Linked DNA regions of Rhinolophus ferrumequinum. The protein of the gene in region 2 purifies or fractionates together with the protein of the main gene of each other region. This does not show direct contact. Links are inferred from orthologs where the notes say so. Each region holds a gene or a part of one and is shown on either strand. Other genes may lie near its edges.

Region 1 (7,338 bases), on a different chromosome or scaffold from region 2:
ATCCATCACCCATGGTCTTAAAAAGAATCCCAAATGATTCTAACCCAAACCAGTCTAGCATCTGTCTTGCTCAACCTTGGCATTATTGTTATTTGGAGCGGGAGGGGGAGTCGGGAGGAGGGAATGCTGTCCTGTGCCTTACAGGATGTTGAGCAGCTTCCCTGGTCTCTACCCTTTAGCTGCTCACTCCCACTGGGGTGACAAGTTAAAGTATCTCCAGACATTGCCAAATGTTTCTCTAGAGGCAAAATCATCCCCCAGTTGAGAACCACCGATCTGGAGTAAATAAAAACCAATCATTTGAGGTTTTCTTCGGAAAGAAAGAAAAAACAAAACAAGAAAGCTACTTAAAGCCAAGAGGCTAGGTCTATGTTTTCAGTTCCTCGCACCTGAGAAAAGTAGCTAACACTACTCAGCCCACTGGGGCTCAGATTCTGACTTATAAGGAGGAACAAACCACAGCTTCTTGGGCTTTTCATGAAATAAACTCAATGCTGAGTTTTAGCTGAGCAGATGGTTAGAAGAGCTTCAGTCACTATCATTTACTCTCCTTAAGGGTAACAAAAACATTGTAAAATTTTAGACCAATATCCACTCAGGTTGCATCTCAAATATCCAAAATATAAAACTGCAACATACAAGTGTATCATAGAAACAAAGTCAATATTGAGCCTGACAACTACTGTTCTAAGGAAGACATGTTTTACCTGTAATAAGCATATTATCTTTGTACCAAATAGATACCAAAAATTAAACAAACCGAGCAAACCTCACCCTGTCGAGTCTCAATTTTACTACTATTCACTTTATGTCCAGCTATGTTCTCACTCTCAACTTCTCAAGTAACTAATTGAAACTAGCAAGTTTTTGTTTTGTTTTGCTATAATTTACACAAAAGCTATTATAATTTTCTGATCCAAACTGACCTTCTTCCTGTTCCTGAGTTAAGTTACAGCAGCAAGATGCTCAGCTCTACTTAAGACTGAGTCTATCCAAGCAACACTTTCCCAGTGCAAGACAGGTCCCAAGCTAGTAATGCCAAGGAAAAGGGGAGCACGGTTTCGAGTACCAGGGAGACGCACACAGGGCAGTAGTTAAAAGACTGTGGTATATGTGTGACTGACTGGATGGCATTTTGTTAAATATTCTAGATTCCCTGATCAGACACACTGAAACGCAAAACAGCTTATTCCCCAAACCATCTTTACTGAAATAAATGTCAATACACAATAACCTTTCAAACCTAAATAACCACCCAAGAGTACACAAAGAAATCCTGGAGTTACTGATTTGGGGGGCAATCATACTAAGGATGTAACACCCACAAGAGGAAAAGAATCTGACTCGAGCTCCTGATGGGCTTTTCTTTATTTACATCTCCTAAACCAAACATTCTGAGGCACCACCGCTAAAAATTACTCCAGGATACGTTTGTAATTCAGTGAATCTTCAACCACCCCTCTCCTAAAAAAAATGGAAAACATTTCCACTTCATTTTCTCACTCCAGCTGATTCTTAAATACACAAAGTTTTCCAAAGACATTCACCAAGAGCCAGCGCTTAAACACTCATCTGACTTTCTAATAATACCTAAACATTTAAAAATCAAATTTAAATTAATAATAATTGCCACTAATTACTAAGCTGATTCTGCGTGCTAGGCACCTTTTCTAACTGCTTTACATGTATTAACTCATTTACTCCCAACAAACTTTTAAGGTAGACACTTATTATTCCCATATTACACAGGAAGCAAAGAGACTGAGTAACTTGCCCAAGGTCACAAAGCTAGAAAGTGGTGAAACCAAGATTTCAATCCAGGCAGTCTGACTCCAGAGCGAAGATCGCTCAAACACCACCACCACCTAGCAGACGTCCCACTGGCTGGAAATCTGGAGTCCCTTTCCCACTTGCTGCCTACCTGCAACATGACCTTGAGGACTGAATCGAAGTAAAATTCACATCAAAGTGGGGCAATATCCACGTTATCAAGTGCCGTGAGGATGAAAGGAAACTACCAAGTAAGCGCCCCTCCCATAAAAGCAAAACATAAACAACGCTCCACGGGACCCACAGAGAAAATGTGAAATACCGGAAAAATTACACGAAGCTCTGACGCGTCAGGACAGAGATACATCCAAGGGCTCGTTCCGTGCACCTTACAGCCAAAAGTCCAAGTTGTGATCAGAGCAGGCGGGATGTGGGAAGAAACCCCTCCAAGCTAGGAGCGAACAGGCTTCTTTAAGAGGGAGGTACTTCCAGCCGCAGAAGGACCACCCCCCTCGCTCATATTCGCCAGGGAGGCTTTCGTGACCAGGTCTACATTCGAGTCACAACACTGGAGTTAAAAAATCGCTCAGAAGGCTATTTAAATACTCCGAGCTGCTTTTTGCGTTTTCCAGCGAGTCTGCAGCGAATGAATAGAAACCCACAGAACTTGTTTCCCGGAGAACGAGTCCAACAATGGCCTTCGCCCGTCTACAGCGAGCTGCCCCTCAACTTGACATGCTTCCGGGGCTCGCGCGGAGAGTTCTCCGGGGCCCGCGCGCGGGGCGGCGCCCGGGGCGGGCAAGCGGGAGCGGAACCGAGCCAGGCCAGGTTAGGGGCGCGCCCCGCCCGCCACCACTGCCGCGCAGGGCCGCGGACCTCATCGCGGGCGCAAAGTTCGCCGTCGGGCCCGCGTCCCACCCCAGCGCCCCGCACGGCGGGGCCCCCGCGGCCCGTGGCGGGCGAGCAGGAGGCTGACAGGCGCGGACCGGGACGGCCGGGAGAGCCTGGACGCCGCGCCTCTCGGGCCGCCGAGCGGCGAATTCCGGGGGGGAGGGGAGGGGGCCGGGACGCTCCCTCCCCGCGCCGCCGAGGCCAGGAGGAAGAGCCTCGCCGCCGACCGCGCGCCGCGCACCCCGCGCCGCTACCCGCTCCGCCGCCCCCCTCCCCCTTCATTACCTGGAGGTGCCCGCGACCCGCCGCTAGTTGCGCTCAGGCGGGAAACGCGCTCACCGACACCATCAGCGAAGCGCCCAAAATGGCGGACGTATCAAGCAGGCCTTGAGTTCTCCCCGCCCTCCCTCTGGCCTCCTCGCAACCAATTGCGGCCCTGCCCCCGCCCCCGGCTCCACGGTCATTGGCTTCCCTCTCCCGTCCCCTGCAGCCTATTGGGGCGCCCCGCGGCCCCGTTGCACCCACTCTTATTGGCTCGCAGGCCCCGTCAGTCAAGGGCAAGGGGCGCATTCTTTTCCCATGGACTTGACGGATCCGGAACCTCTAGGACCCCGGAGTCTGGAAAAACAAATCAGAAACCAGGAGAAACCTGGCTGGGTCCCCCTACGCCGTAGCAACAGCAGGGCCCCTGTTTGACGGACGCTTCGGACCACCAATCCGATAGCAAATGCTTTTTAAAACTAAACTGAGCCAAACCAATCATGGCCGTGAAGCTGGAAGCTGCAAGGGAACCAATGGGGTAGCGAGACCCGTGGGCGGGTTGGAGAGCCTGCAGGAAACCGGTGATGACGTGAGTCACAATATGTGTCCGCGGCGGAAGTTTTCTGGACCTGGGGAATTAGCTCAAATGGTAGAGCGCTCGCTTAGCATGTGAGAGGTAGCGGGATCGATGCCCGCATTCTCCACGGCTGAATTTTATAAAGGGAGACCTGCACGTCCTCGGTCACCTTACGAGGAAAAGGTGGCTGTCGCAGGAGTTAGGGGTCACGTTCACGGTAGAGAGGTCAGACCAGGTTCCCCCAGCCCCTACCCCTACGGTACCGGGAGAGAAGAAATGTTTTGCCTTACGGAAGGATTTACACACGAGTTTCTTCCGAAATGCTAGAGGGCGACAATTGGCGACAGGGCTAAAAGCTGGGGGCAAGTAAGCGTCCGGTGAAACCCAGCCGGAATTCAGCGAACGCAAAATTACGCACCCACGAGTGTGCGCGCAGCGCAGGGGAAGCTTGGGCTGCAGGCTGCGGAAGCGGGGTGCTCTGCATTCGTGGGCAGCCCTTTAGTGAGCGCCTGGTGTGTGCACAGCCTGTGGGGGTTCGTCAGACACCACCTGGGTAGCACCAGGTAGTGGTAAGTAAAACAGGCCGCCGAGTGGTGCGGGCCCTTCCTGAGCAGGTGTCATTTCAACACAGGGACAGGGAGGACAGAGCTGCAGGCTCTTGCGTCCAGATGGCGGGGAAAGAGGCCTGAAGCCCCCAGGTGGGGCTGTGGAGCGCCAGGGAGGCAGGTGTAGCTGCGTTGTGGTGGGAGAGGGCATGCGCATGGCAGGGAGAGGAGGTGGCAGAGGTGACTGGGTGGTGGCCGGGCCTTGAGGACAAGTGAAGGAACTTGGGGTTTATGCTCAGAGATTGAGGTCCAGGAAGCGCTTCTGGGTAGCGAAAGGCGTGTTCATGGCTGGCCTAACTTTATTTAGAAAGGACTGTTCTGAGCAAGAGCAGCAAGGCAATGCTACAGGAGGCAGAGGGCGGGGGCGGCAGGCCCCAGGGGCTGGACCTAGGAGTCAGGGAGAGGCTGCAGGGAACACTGGCATAGGAGTTGGTGCCTGAGAGGGAGGCTGGGCGTGGATAGGAGGGGACAACTAGGGCTGGGACCTGCCCTCGGGGGCACCTAGGGAGGGCCCAGCCACCCACTGATCTCTTTACTGGTTCATCTTCAAAGGACTTGCCAGTACCTGCTTCTGGCTCCTCCATCCCAGACTCTGAAGTGGGTCCTAGGGCCATGTGCACTATAATTAAATGAAATAATGCAGTACCTCACCCAATATAAGTGGGCCCCGAAAGTCTCCAGTTAGATGAGCTCCTAACCTAATCTGAAGGGTTGAAGCCAGGAGAACTTCCTGAAGGGGGAGGCATCTGAGCCCTGCCCGTCACCTGAGGGCAGTAGGGAACCACTGACAGGCTTTACAGAGGAGAGGGACTTTTGAAGCTTTGCATCGGCCTCACTGTTGTCGAGTTTCTAGATTTCACAGAGCACCACTCTCCCCCTTTTTCTCCTTAATCCTTTGGTGATTTAATTTTTAATGTTTAAATTTGCAACCCATCTAGACTTTTAAAAAATTTATACGAATCATTTCTCACACACTCAACAGTAGAGAGAAACATTATGAACGCCCATGTGCCTGTCACCCAGCTAGTACTCCTAAACTTTGGGAACAGCCACAGAACTGTGTCATTACTAATTCTATCAAGTAATGGTTTTTAAAAATACCATTTATTATTGCCGTCCTTTCATACAAGGAAAGACATTTGAACATACATACACTTAGGTAGGAAAGACTAGCTCAGGATAAACAAAAAGGCTTTAAATTGAATAAGCTCAGCTTGGGGACAAAGACATCCTATTGGCTTTCCTTTTGTTACATCACCAGGGCTCAGTCCTGATCTGAGAGCTAGAGGGGGGCCATGCTGAGGACAGCCATGCTCCAGAGGGGCCCGGGCTGGTTCTGGGTCAGGTCAAGGTCGGTTGAGGTTGGAGATAAGGGGCCAGATATGCAGCTCTAGTGGGATGTGAAGGGTCGACCGATTTTAACACGGAAACGTTAACTTTTCTGTTTCTTTTCCTTTTCTTCCCTGCATTAAGATTCAATCTGGGTTGGGGAGAAGGTATTTCCCTTCCTGCTAGAGGACTGTTGGTAGCCCAAGTGTTGGTAGAAAGGGGAACCAGTAGGTTGCTACCAATTAGGGCCGCTAGCTTACGGGGAAAGAACAGGAGGGCATTTGGGTGCAGAGAGAGAGAGGTAGACACATGGGGATCTGGATGAGGACCTTGAGGGAGGAGCCAGCAAGGGGGTTCCTTGGCGGGACCCCAGCCTGGTGACCTGAGGGTACGGTCCAACAAGCGGGTCTCAGTGCTGGGAAGAGCCATCTGAGAGGCTCTCAAGAAGGTACCCTGCAGGGGCCAAGTGGGATCCTAGCCCCACCCCACTTCCCACCACCCAGGTTTCTCCACTTCACCCACATCCCAGTTCCCCATTGTCCTGCCTGGCACTGGACATGCCTAAAATCTGGCCACGTGGATTTTGTTCGGCTGCCCGGGGCAGCTATGGACCCAAGAGGGCTGCCGGGCCCAGGCAGGGCGGAGCTCCCACACGCATCCTGCGGCCAGCCTGGATGAGGCCTGAGCTGAGCAAATGGCTCCTCTGATATGGTCAGGGAGGCCCTGTCGTTCCCCGAGGGACACCCTGCAGGGCTCAGTGAGGGCTGACAGAGACTCAGAGGTCATGCGTGTCACCGCAGAAGTGAGAGGGTTTGGAGGGAAGGTGGAAGCCCTTTTGGCCACGTTGAGTAACACCCAGTAACCAGTTAGTAATGTTTATCGGATAAAGGAGTGATTGAACAAATGAATGAAAAAAATTGTGGCTTTTCTTTTTTTTTCCCTGAGCCTTGGTTTCCTCAACTACAAATCGAAGATACCTCGCTGGGGTGTTGTGAAATTTAAATGAAACAAGCTAAGTTAACTTCACCCCCTCAGTTAAGACTGCTTAGACGTCACCTCCTCCAGGAAGCCTTCCCATCTGAGTGTGATACCCTTTCTGGGCCCCAGATATCTCAACACTGCTTTCCCCCAGCCAAGACTTTGGAAAACTCTCCATGATGGATTTGGAGTACCTTCAAGGGAGGACATCTGACTAATCTCTGGGCCCCCCAGCAAGGGCTCTGCAGGTAGTGGGTGCTTACTGAAGGCTGACAGATTTATTTGGCACATAGTAGGAGGCCAGCAGTTTGGCCCATTCCCCCTAGCTGATTGCAAGGCAGGAAAGCGTCCAGCAGAGTGGTCTCTGGCCACCAGATGGCACCCATAGCCATGCAATGGATCTATCAGGGGACACTCCAGGGTGCTGGGGGGGAGAGCGGGAGGGCTGCAGAGGTAACTCAATCGTCCCCAGCCCACGCAGGCCACGGGGGTCACAGCCCAGGTCATTTCTTCCCCACCCCTGGTCTGATCCCTGGCAGGCCCTAGAGGACTGGATGGCTGGCTGGGTGGGAGAATGGAGCAGAGGTGCTCCTGGGGACCCCCGATGCACGATTGAAGGGCAAGAGAGTGGACGGAGGTCTCCTAGGGGAACCCCCCAATGCAGCCACTGCTTCTGAGTCAGCAAAGGTGCCCTCTGCTCCCCGCGTGGCTGCCCAGGCCAAGACTGGTACTTTAAATTAGCACCTCAGGGCGTGGGGCCCAACCTGGAAGAACAGGAATCCTGAGTGCTTAGAAGCCCCCCCGCCCCCCGCCCACTGCAGGCAGCTCTGTGGGGCAGGGGACCCCACCTTGGGCTGGGAGTCTGGGTGCACCATCTAGCTCTGCCGGTCCTTTGTGGTATGACCTGGGGCAAGTGCGTCAGCTCTG
Region 2 (6,914 bases):
GTTCAACAAATGTCATAAAAAAGCCAGGGAGAATTCTTTGAACCTTTATGGAGGCATTTCAGACAGAGGTACAACTGTGCAGAGCAGGTAGCCTTATATGAAAAACTTAGGAGATGGCTCAGACTAAACATAAAAGTGAGTTCCAAAAAAAATTACATTAACAATTAATCCATAAAAGTGGTTACTATGGAATCACACAATTCCTTGTGTTGCATCTCTGAGACAGACACTAGTATTCTCCAACCCCTACCATGGTAACTCTCTTTGGTTCCTCAGTGAAAAAAAACTGTACACCAACTCAGTGTGCAATTTCTTTGCTTACATGTCACCTTTAAGAACTATCCAAGAGATCAGACAATCTCCAACTTATAAAACCCATCCCCTGCCAAAGTATTTAAGTTGAAGTATTCAGTGAAACAGTCTTTTATCATTCATTCTTCCACTTGATCAGATCAGTCTACCTATGTCTTCTATGATCAGCTCTGAATCCTTATGGATGAGAATCACATGAGCTCTTTTTAAAGAAAGGGTATGCTTTGGTCCACTCACTTTTATAGTTCATTCTTATTCCTGCGAAACAGTTACGAAGATTCGATTGTGTACTAGTGACATGACCACTTACAATTTAGGTGTAGAGAAATCATGATTAGATCTAGAGCATCTTATACATTTAGTATTTTACTTAGTACCTCCAACTTAAAGTCAATTTAAAACACACTGAATTTCTGCCTTTTCTACCAGAACAAATCTTTTCCATAATGATCATTACGTGATCCCAGTGATTTCTTTTCTTCCTCTTACAGAATCTTTTATTTTGGCTTTAAAGCCTTAGAAAAGGTACTCCTGGAATACTTTCTTGGACTGCCTAATTTTAGTTTGCACTTCATGCCAAGAAGAAACAAAATTAAATTTCTTTAAATACACCAGAGATGAGCATACATCACAAGCAAATTAATCTGATAAAAATATTTCCAAGACAAAGAAGAAAAGCCTCCCCTTATTTAAAAAAAAATTCAGAATTTTTCCCTCAGTAGATTTTTTTAAATTTATTAATAACTAGATACATGCTAAGTATACGCCAATTGTGTTGCAAAGGGAAATGAAATGGTTTAAGAACTATTTTTCCTTAAGGTTGGAAGGAACTCTAACGTTTATCAAACTAAGAGGTCTAAAGAAAATCCAACTGATGTATCATCCAAATAATTTCAATATCAATTTCAAGTTAATATCAAGACACATTTTCATAATAAGCAACATTTTACTAATTATAAACACAAAGCTTAAAACTGCTTTACAGATGCTAAAGAATAGAAAATTTCACATCAATTCACTGACAAAAAAACAATAACTTCACCCATGGGATTAACAATGTTACCAAAAGATGTCTGGTTAGATTTCCATGAACTGGATACCAGTGTTGGTTGTATCCTTGTTTCCTTAAAAAGCATATAGCAGAAAGAAGCCACAAAGGACTCAGATGAACATGAAAGCTGCATTTCTACTAATACTGGCTTTGTCCTCCTTTTAATTAAATTATCCTATTCGTATATGTGCTGCCGAAGCGAGCACTAAATTATCCTATTAAAAAGGGGGACATGCACAAGAATGACTCCCCTATCATATAGCATATATTTACCTATAAGTACAATAAGTTACATTAAGGTCCTTTGGCCTTCAAGATTTTGCATACTTTTTGACTGACATTAAACATCAACTTCCTGCATCAAAAGGGCAAAACAAAAAAACCAGTAACATCTTCCTTAAAAGAAAAAAATTCACGGACAAAGATGAATTGCTTTAAACCCACAGCTTAAAAGTATAAAAAAAAATTCATAACTACACAGTTTACCCACTTACCACATACAAACCAAAGTTAACTGAAAAAAATAAAAGACAGTAGCCCTACTAACCGCTATATGCTGCTGACACCTAAACACCGGTTTTAACAAACGCACAGAAATAGAAACACTTGTCAAAGACTGACGTTTATTCCTTTACCCACACATACTTTACTGTTACTTGGACTTGGCAGTAACAAAAAACTCGCCTCCTTTAGTAAACCAAAAAAATGAAATATTGGGTTAAGAAAGGATTATGGAGAAACACCTTAAAGGACAGAAAAGTATTTGTATTTATTGAGGGCCTACTAAATTACCCACTTATATTAGTTTTACCCACTTAAATTAGCTCAACAACATACTTGCAAATGGAATTCATATCTGAGCTGGCAGAAGAAAACCAACACTCCTGAAAAGCAGCTGGGAGGAGTGGTAGGAAAAGAGGGACGACTTGACGTTTTCCCGCATCACCACCAAACCGCTCCCGCCCACCGTCTTCCAGTCCTCAGGAACCCAAACACGCTGACTGAGGACGCGTTCCGGAGGCCGGCGGCATCTCCTGTCATTCGCCAGCCACCCAGACCTCCTGTCATATTTGGGGGGATGACCCATTCCGAGGGCACTGCCTGCTGGGGCTCGGTTCGGACTCCGGAAGACCGGAGATGGAGTTAGGGGCGAGAAGACTTCTGTTCCAAGCACAGCTGTGAGGGCTCAGTGCCCCGGGACACCCGAAAGCCAGGGGGGATAACCCTGGGACAGAGGCCGCGACATCCCTCAGGATCCCCACTACGGAACTGGGACAGCATTCGGGGGACTATGGCTCCGCTCCCTCCGCTCTCCGCAAGAAGGCAAGTCGGAACGGGTCGCTCAGCACTGCGTCAGGCCCTCCATCGTGACGGGACGGGATGCTGGCGGGGGTCCGGGGTAGAGAAGGGCGGGCCGGCGGGCGCCCCACTGCCGGAAGGGGCGAGCCCGCCAGCAGCGCTCCCGCCCCGACCGGGCTCACCTTCAGGTCGTTCTCCGGTAGGTACTTGCACAGCCGCGCTATCTCCACATACTTGTCCAAGTCTAGGGGCGCCATTTTAGAAATAACAAGCCCGGACGGCGGCGGCGGCGGCGGCGGCTGGAGTATCGGCGGCAGCGGCAAAGGCCGAAGCCGGAACTCTTCCTACGTCACGTCCGGCCCGTGAGAGGCATCTGCGCAGCGGCGTAAAGCTTGACCCGATTCTCCCCGCTGCTTCGGCACGCCCCGATCCTTCTCCCGCTGAACGCAGGCTGCGGGCCCTAAGGGGCTCCCTGGCTACATAAAATGAAACCGGCTGCGACCCGTAGTTGTCTGCCGCTGAGAGGGATGGGATTTGTAGTTTTCAGTAGCGGCCAACTACGCCTCTTTTCCTCCTCTTCCCTTCCTCCAGACTTTAACGTCTGGGGACCCAACGAGGCTTTTCCGATGCAAAACGGCGAAGTATGTGACTCTAGTCATTCCCTGGTTTCCCACTACGACTCATTTAAGCATTCTGTCACGAGAACATCTTCAATTAAAAATTAGGTAAGCTTGGCCGTAGTAATCTGTTTGCACCTTTCCGAGGCCTTGTGAAAACCTTGCCTAAATCTGTGGCAGAGATGTCAGGCTACGAATCTTCCAGCCTGGAAGGAAGCGAAACAAATATTAAAGCGTTTTTTATGCCACATGCTATATAAATGCTGTTTTTCCTCATAATGATTGATAGGAAAGCAAGGCTCAGAGAGGTTAATTTTCCCAAGTTTCAAAGGGAATAGGCGCGGGAGCCAGGATTGGAACACGGGTCTAGCTGGTTTAAATATACTTCAGTGTGAATCCCATGCGAGCACGTAGTTTTTGTTGTACCCTCAGTTCCAAGAACAGGATCTGGCACTAAGTACCTTCAATATTCGTTCATTCAACAGCTTTTACTGAACACCAACTATGTGCCAGGTACAGCTGTCGACACTTGGGATATTCAGCAAACAAAATAGACGAAGATCCCTATCCTCAACCCATAGCTACTTTGTAGTAGAGGAGACAGAACATAAGCAATAAATATCATAAATATATAGTATATTTAAAAGTAATCAAGTGCTGGGAGGGGGGAAGCACAGCATGATAAGGGAGGTGAGATGATGCATTTTTAAGAACCAACAAAGAGGTGGGGGAGTTAGCCAGCAGATACTAGAGGGGAGTTATGAGAAAGAGCTAACACAAAGGCCTTAAGATGGAAGCATATCTAGAACCTTGGAAATGGCAAAAAAAATTAGTGTGGTTGGAGCAAAGTGAGAAGAGGAGATGTGAGAAAAGAATGTTGTTGTTTTTGTTTTGTTTTGTTTTTACTGATTTTTACTTTTAATGTAACGGAGTTACTGCAGGGTTTTGAGCAGAGGAGTAGTAACATCATCTAACTCATTTTAGAAGGATCTGGTGCAATATGAAACTAGGAGGCAATGGTTGCAGCTGAGAGACGAGTTAGGAGACTGTTACATAATCCAATAGTAGCAGGTTCTCAATCTATATTTGTTACTCAAGTGGCCCTGGACTGGATCCTCTTGTTCTACAATGTAGTTGGGGGACATTTGGCTAAAATTTAATCAAGTCTCTGGGTGGAGTTCTTCATATATTTCTTGTAACTGTTCTGTAAGTATAATATCATTTCTAGTAAAATTAATTTTTTAAAATTGGTTGCACAATGAATGATGCTCACAAACATACATTTCTTCATTTGTTCAATAATAGTTACATAGTACCTATGATGTGAATGATACAGGAGACAAACAATAAACATAAATGAGCACGTAATTAAATGCAAAGTGTGATTACTGTTAAAGAGGGAAAGAAGGGGTACTGTGAGTTAAAAAATGGAGGAGAGGCCTATTTTAAGATTGTCAAGATAGTGGAGGTTAAGTGTGCAGACTCTAGAACCAGAGTTCAAGTCTATTACTCACTGTATCACTTTGGCAAAGTTATTTATCTTTTCTGTGCTCCAGTTTTCTCAGCTACAATATGGAGATAGTAATAAGTGCCTACCCCATACGGAGATGTTCAGAGTAATACTTTATAGGCTTGTACTAAGGTTTAATAAATTTAATATGTGGAAAGGGGTTAAAACGATGTCATGTCCAGAGTGAGTGCAATGTGAGTGTTAGCTCTTCAGCATTGGACGGCAGGAAAGGCCTTTCTGAAGAGGTAACATTTAAGACTTTAGGGGGAAAAAGTATAAGGGAGAATATGCTCAAAATATCTTGAAGAAAAAAATTCCAAGTGAGGAAAATATGCTACTGTTGACTTTTTTTTTTTTATACTCCTCTTTGGAAAGCTGGCAGTTCACTTTTCATCTCTGCACCTCAGTAACTGGGAATGAATCCTACTCAAGATACTATCTCAGAATTGGGAAGGAGGACAAAGTGCTTGAAAGGAAAGTGTCACCGGCATCATTGCTTCCCTTGCTGATAAGCCAGTGATCAGGTAGGTAATGAAAGCATATGAGATCCTTTCCAGTGAAAATAACTGGTAGTCCTCACATTACCAAATTGTCTGGCAGCAAGAAGCTCCATCCTGCAGACCCACCTTATTCGGTGACCCTCACTGTTCACATGAGGAGCATAGAGAAAGGAGGAAGGTATCCCTGAATGGTGGGTGAGTTCTTAGAAGAGGTAATAGACACATTGGGTGGTTTGTTACACAGACAGTGAGTGTACAGAGCTTGCTGACTGGAATATGTCATTAGTCTTCCTTGCACAAAGCAGAAGATCTGGGCTCCTGGTTCTGCCATTTGTGTGAGTTAGTCATTTTAACTTATCTGGGCCTTGATTTCCATTTTAAAAATAGATCTCAAAAGTTCCTTCTAGCACTTTCTGAAATGTGATTTCTAGTCTAAAAGCATAGGTCCCACAATGAAAACTGTTTGCTATTTTGCCCACAAACCTCTTCCAGTTTTTCTTGTTTATGTGCAACTCCAGCATGGTATTTTGAAAAGTACTTTGAAAAGCCAAAAGACATAGGGGACATCAGAGCATTCTACAACTCTAAGCAGAAATCTCCATCTAGATGCACATGGACATATGGCAGAGCCAACCTGCCCTTGGCTTCCTTTCCTGAAGGAGAGCAGAATGACTAAATACCCCTAAACTCCTCTTTGGCAGTCAGTGGAGATTTTCCCATTAATATGAGAACTCACAAAGACTCCAGGTGTTTGAAATAGGATGTTTGAGCAGTGAAGAGAACTGCAGACCATATTGTCAATAAATTTTCATTATAGTTTCAAGTAACCAAAATATTTACCAAGTTGGCCTTTCACCTGTACTATCCAACACTCTCAACTGCTTCCTCTGAGGTAGGTGTTACTATTCCCATTCTGTAGATGATGAAACTAGGGCTCGCAGAGGGTAATGAACTTGCCAAATGTCAGGGTTAGATGGTTAGTGCTGGAGCCTGATTTGAACCCAAGTGTCTCTTTCTGCTTCCCACTATGCTACCATATTTCTGTACTCCAGGAGCTCCCATATTTCCTTCCTTAGCTGTTTCTTGTATTTCCTAGGATACAATTGGCCTCAGCCCTCTAAGAGATTGCGGGGGTTCTCTGAAACAGGCATTGGTGAGCCGCCTCTCCATTTTGAGGAAAGCCACAGGGAACCTATGGTTATGGAGACCAGAGAAAATGCGGATGAACACTTCTAACTCAGGACTCACGTCTAGAGTTGGGTTATAGCTAGGAATAGCATTATACTTTACAAAGGACCAGCTCTACACCAGCAGCTGGGCACTGAGCACTTTATATTAGCTCATGTATTCCCCACCATAACCTTGTGACAGAAATCTTAATTAGCCCCATCTTACAGACAGGTAACACCGAGGCCCAGAGAAACTTAACTTTCCCAAGAAATACTCTCATTGATGAACTTTTTATTCCTTACACTTTTTACAAATGTACCTAGTTATTTGTTTTTCTATTTAACCTCTCTCTCTCCCTGTCTAGTACGGTTGTAAACTCCAGGAGGCCACGGACCTTTTTTGTTTGGTTCAGCATAGTACCTGCCATAGTTACACATGCTAATTCTGGAATGAAT

The links. Proteins that work in one complex are often made in the same cells at the same time.
Region 1: the proteins of PPP6C (region 2) and PPP6R3 purify together in Homo sapiens (affinity purification with mass spectrometry; 10 studies listed by BioGRID and IntAct, with this or other methods). This does not show direct contact. The link is inferred for Rhinolophus ferrumequinum from reciprocal best matches to the Homo sapiens genes PPP6C and PPP6R3.

The regions. Positions count from the first base shown.
Region 1 is NC_046294.1:4,279,780-4,287,117, forward strand, and holds the start of PPP6R3 (serine/threonine-protein phosphatase 6 regulatory subunit 3), read right to left. Parts: upstream 3,081-7,338; 5' UTR 2,947-3,080; intron 2,209-2,946; exon of another isoform or gene 2,093-2,208; intron 1-2,092.
Region 2 is NC_046295.1:74,838,571-74,845,484, forward strand, and holds the start of PPP6C (serine/threonine-protein phosphatase 6 catalytic subunit), read right to left. Parts: upstream 3,082-6,914; 5' UTR 2,920-3,081; coding exon 2,845-2,919; intron 1-2,844.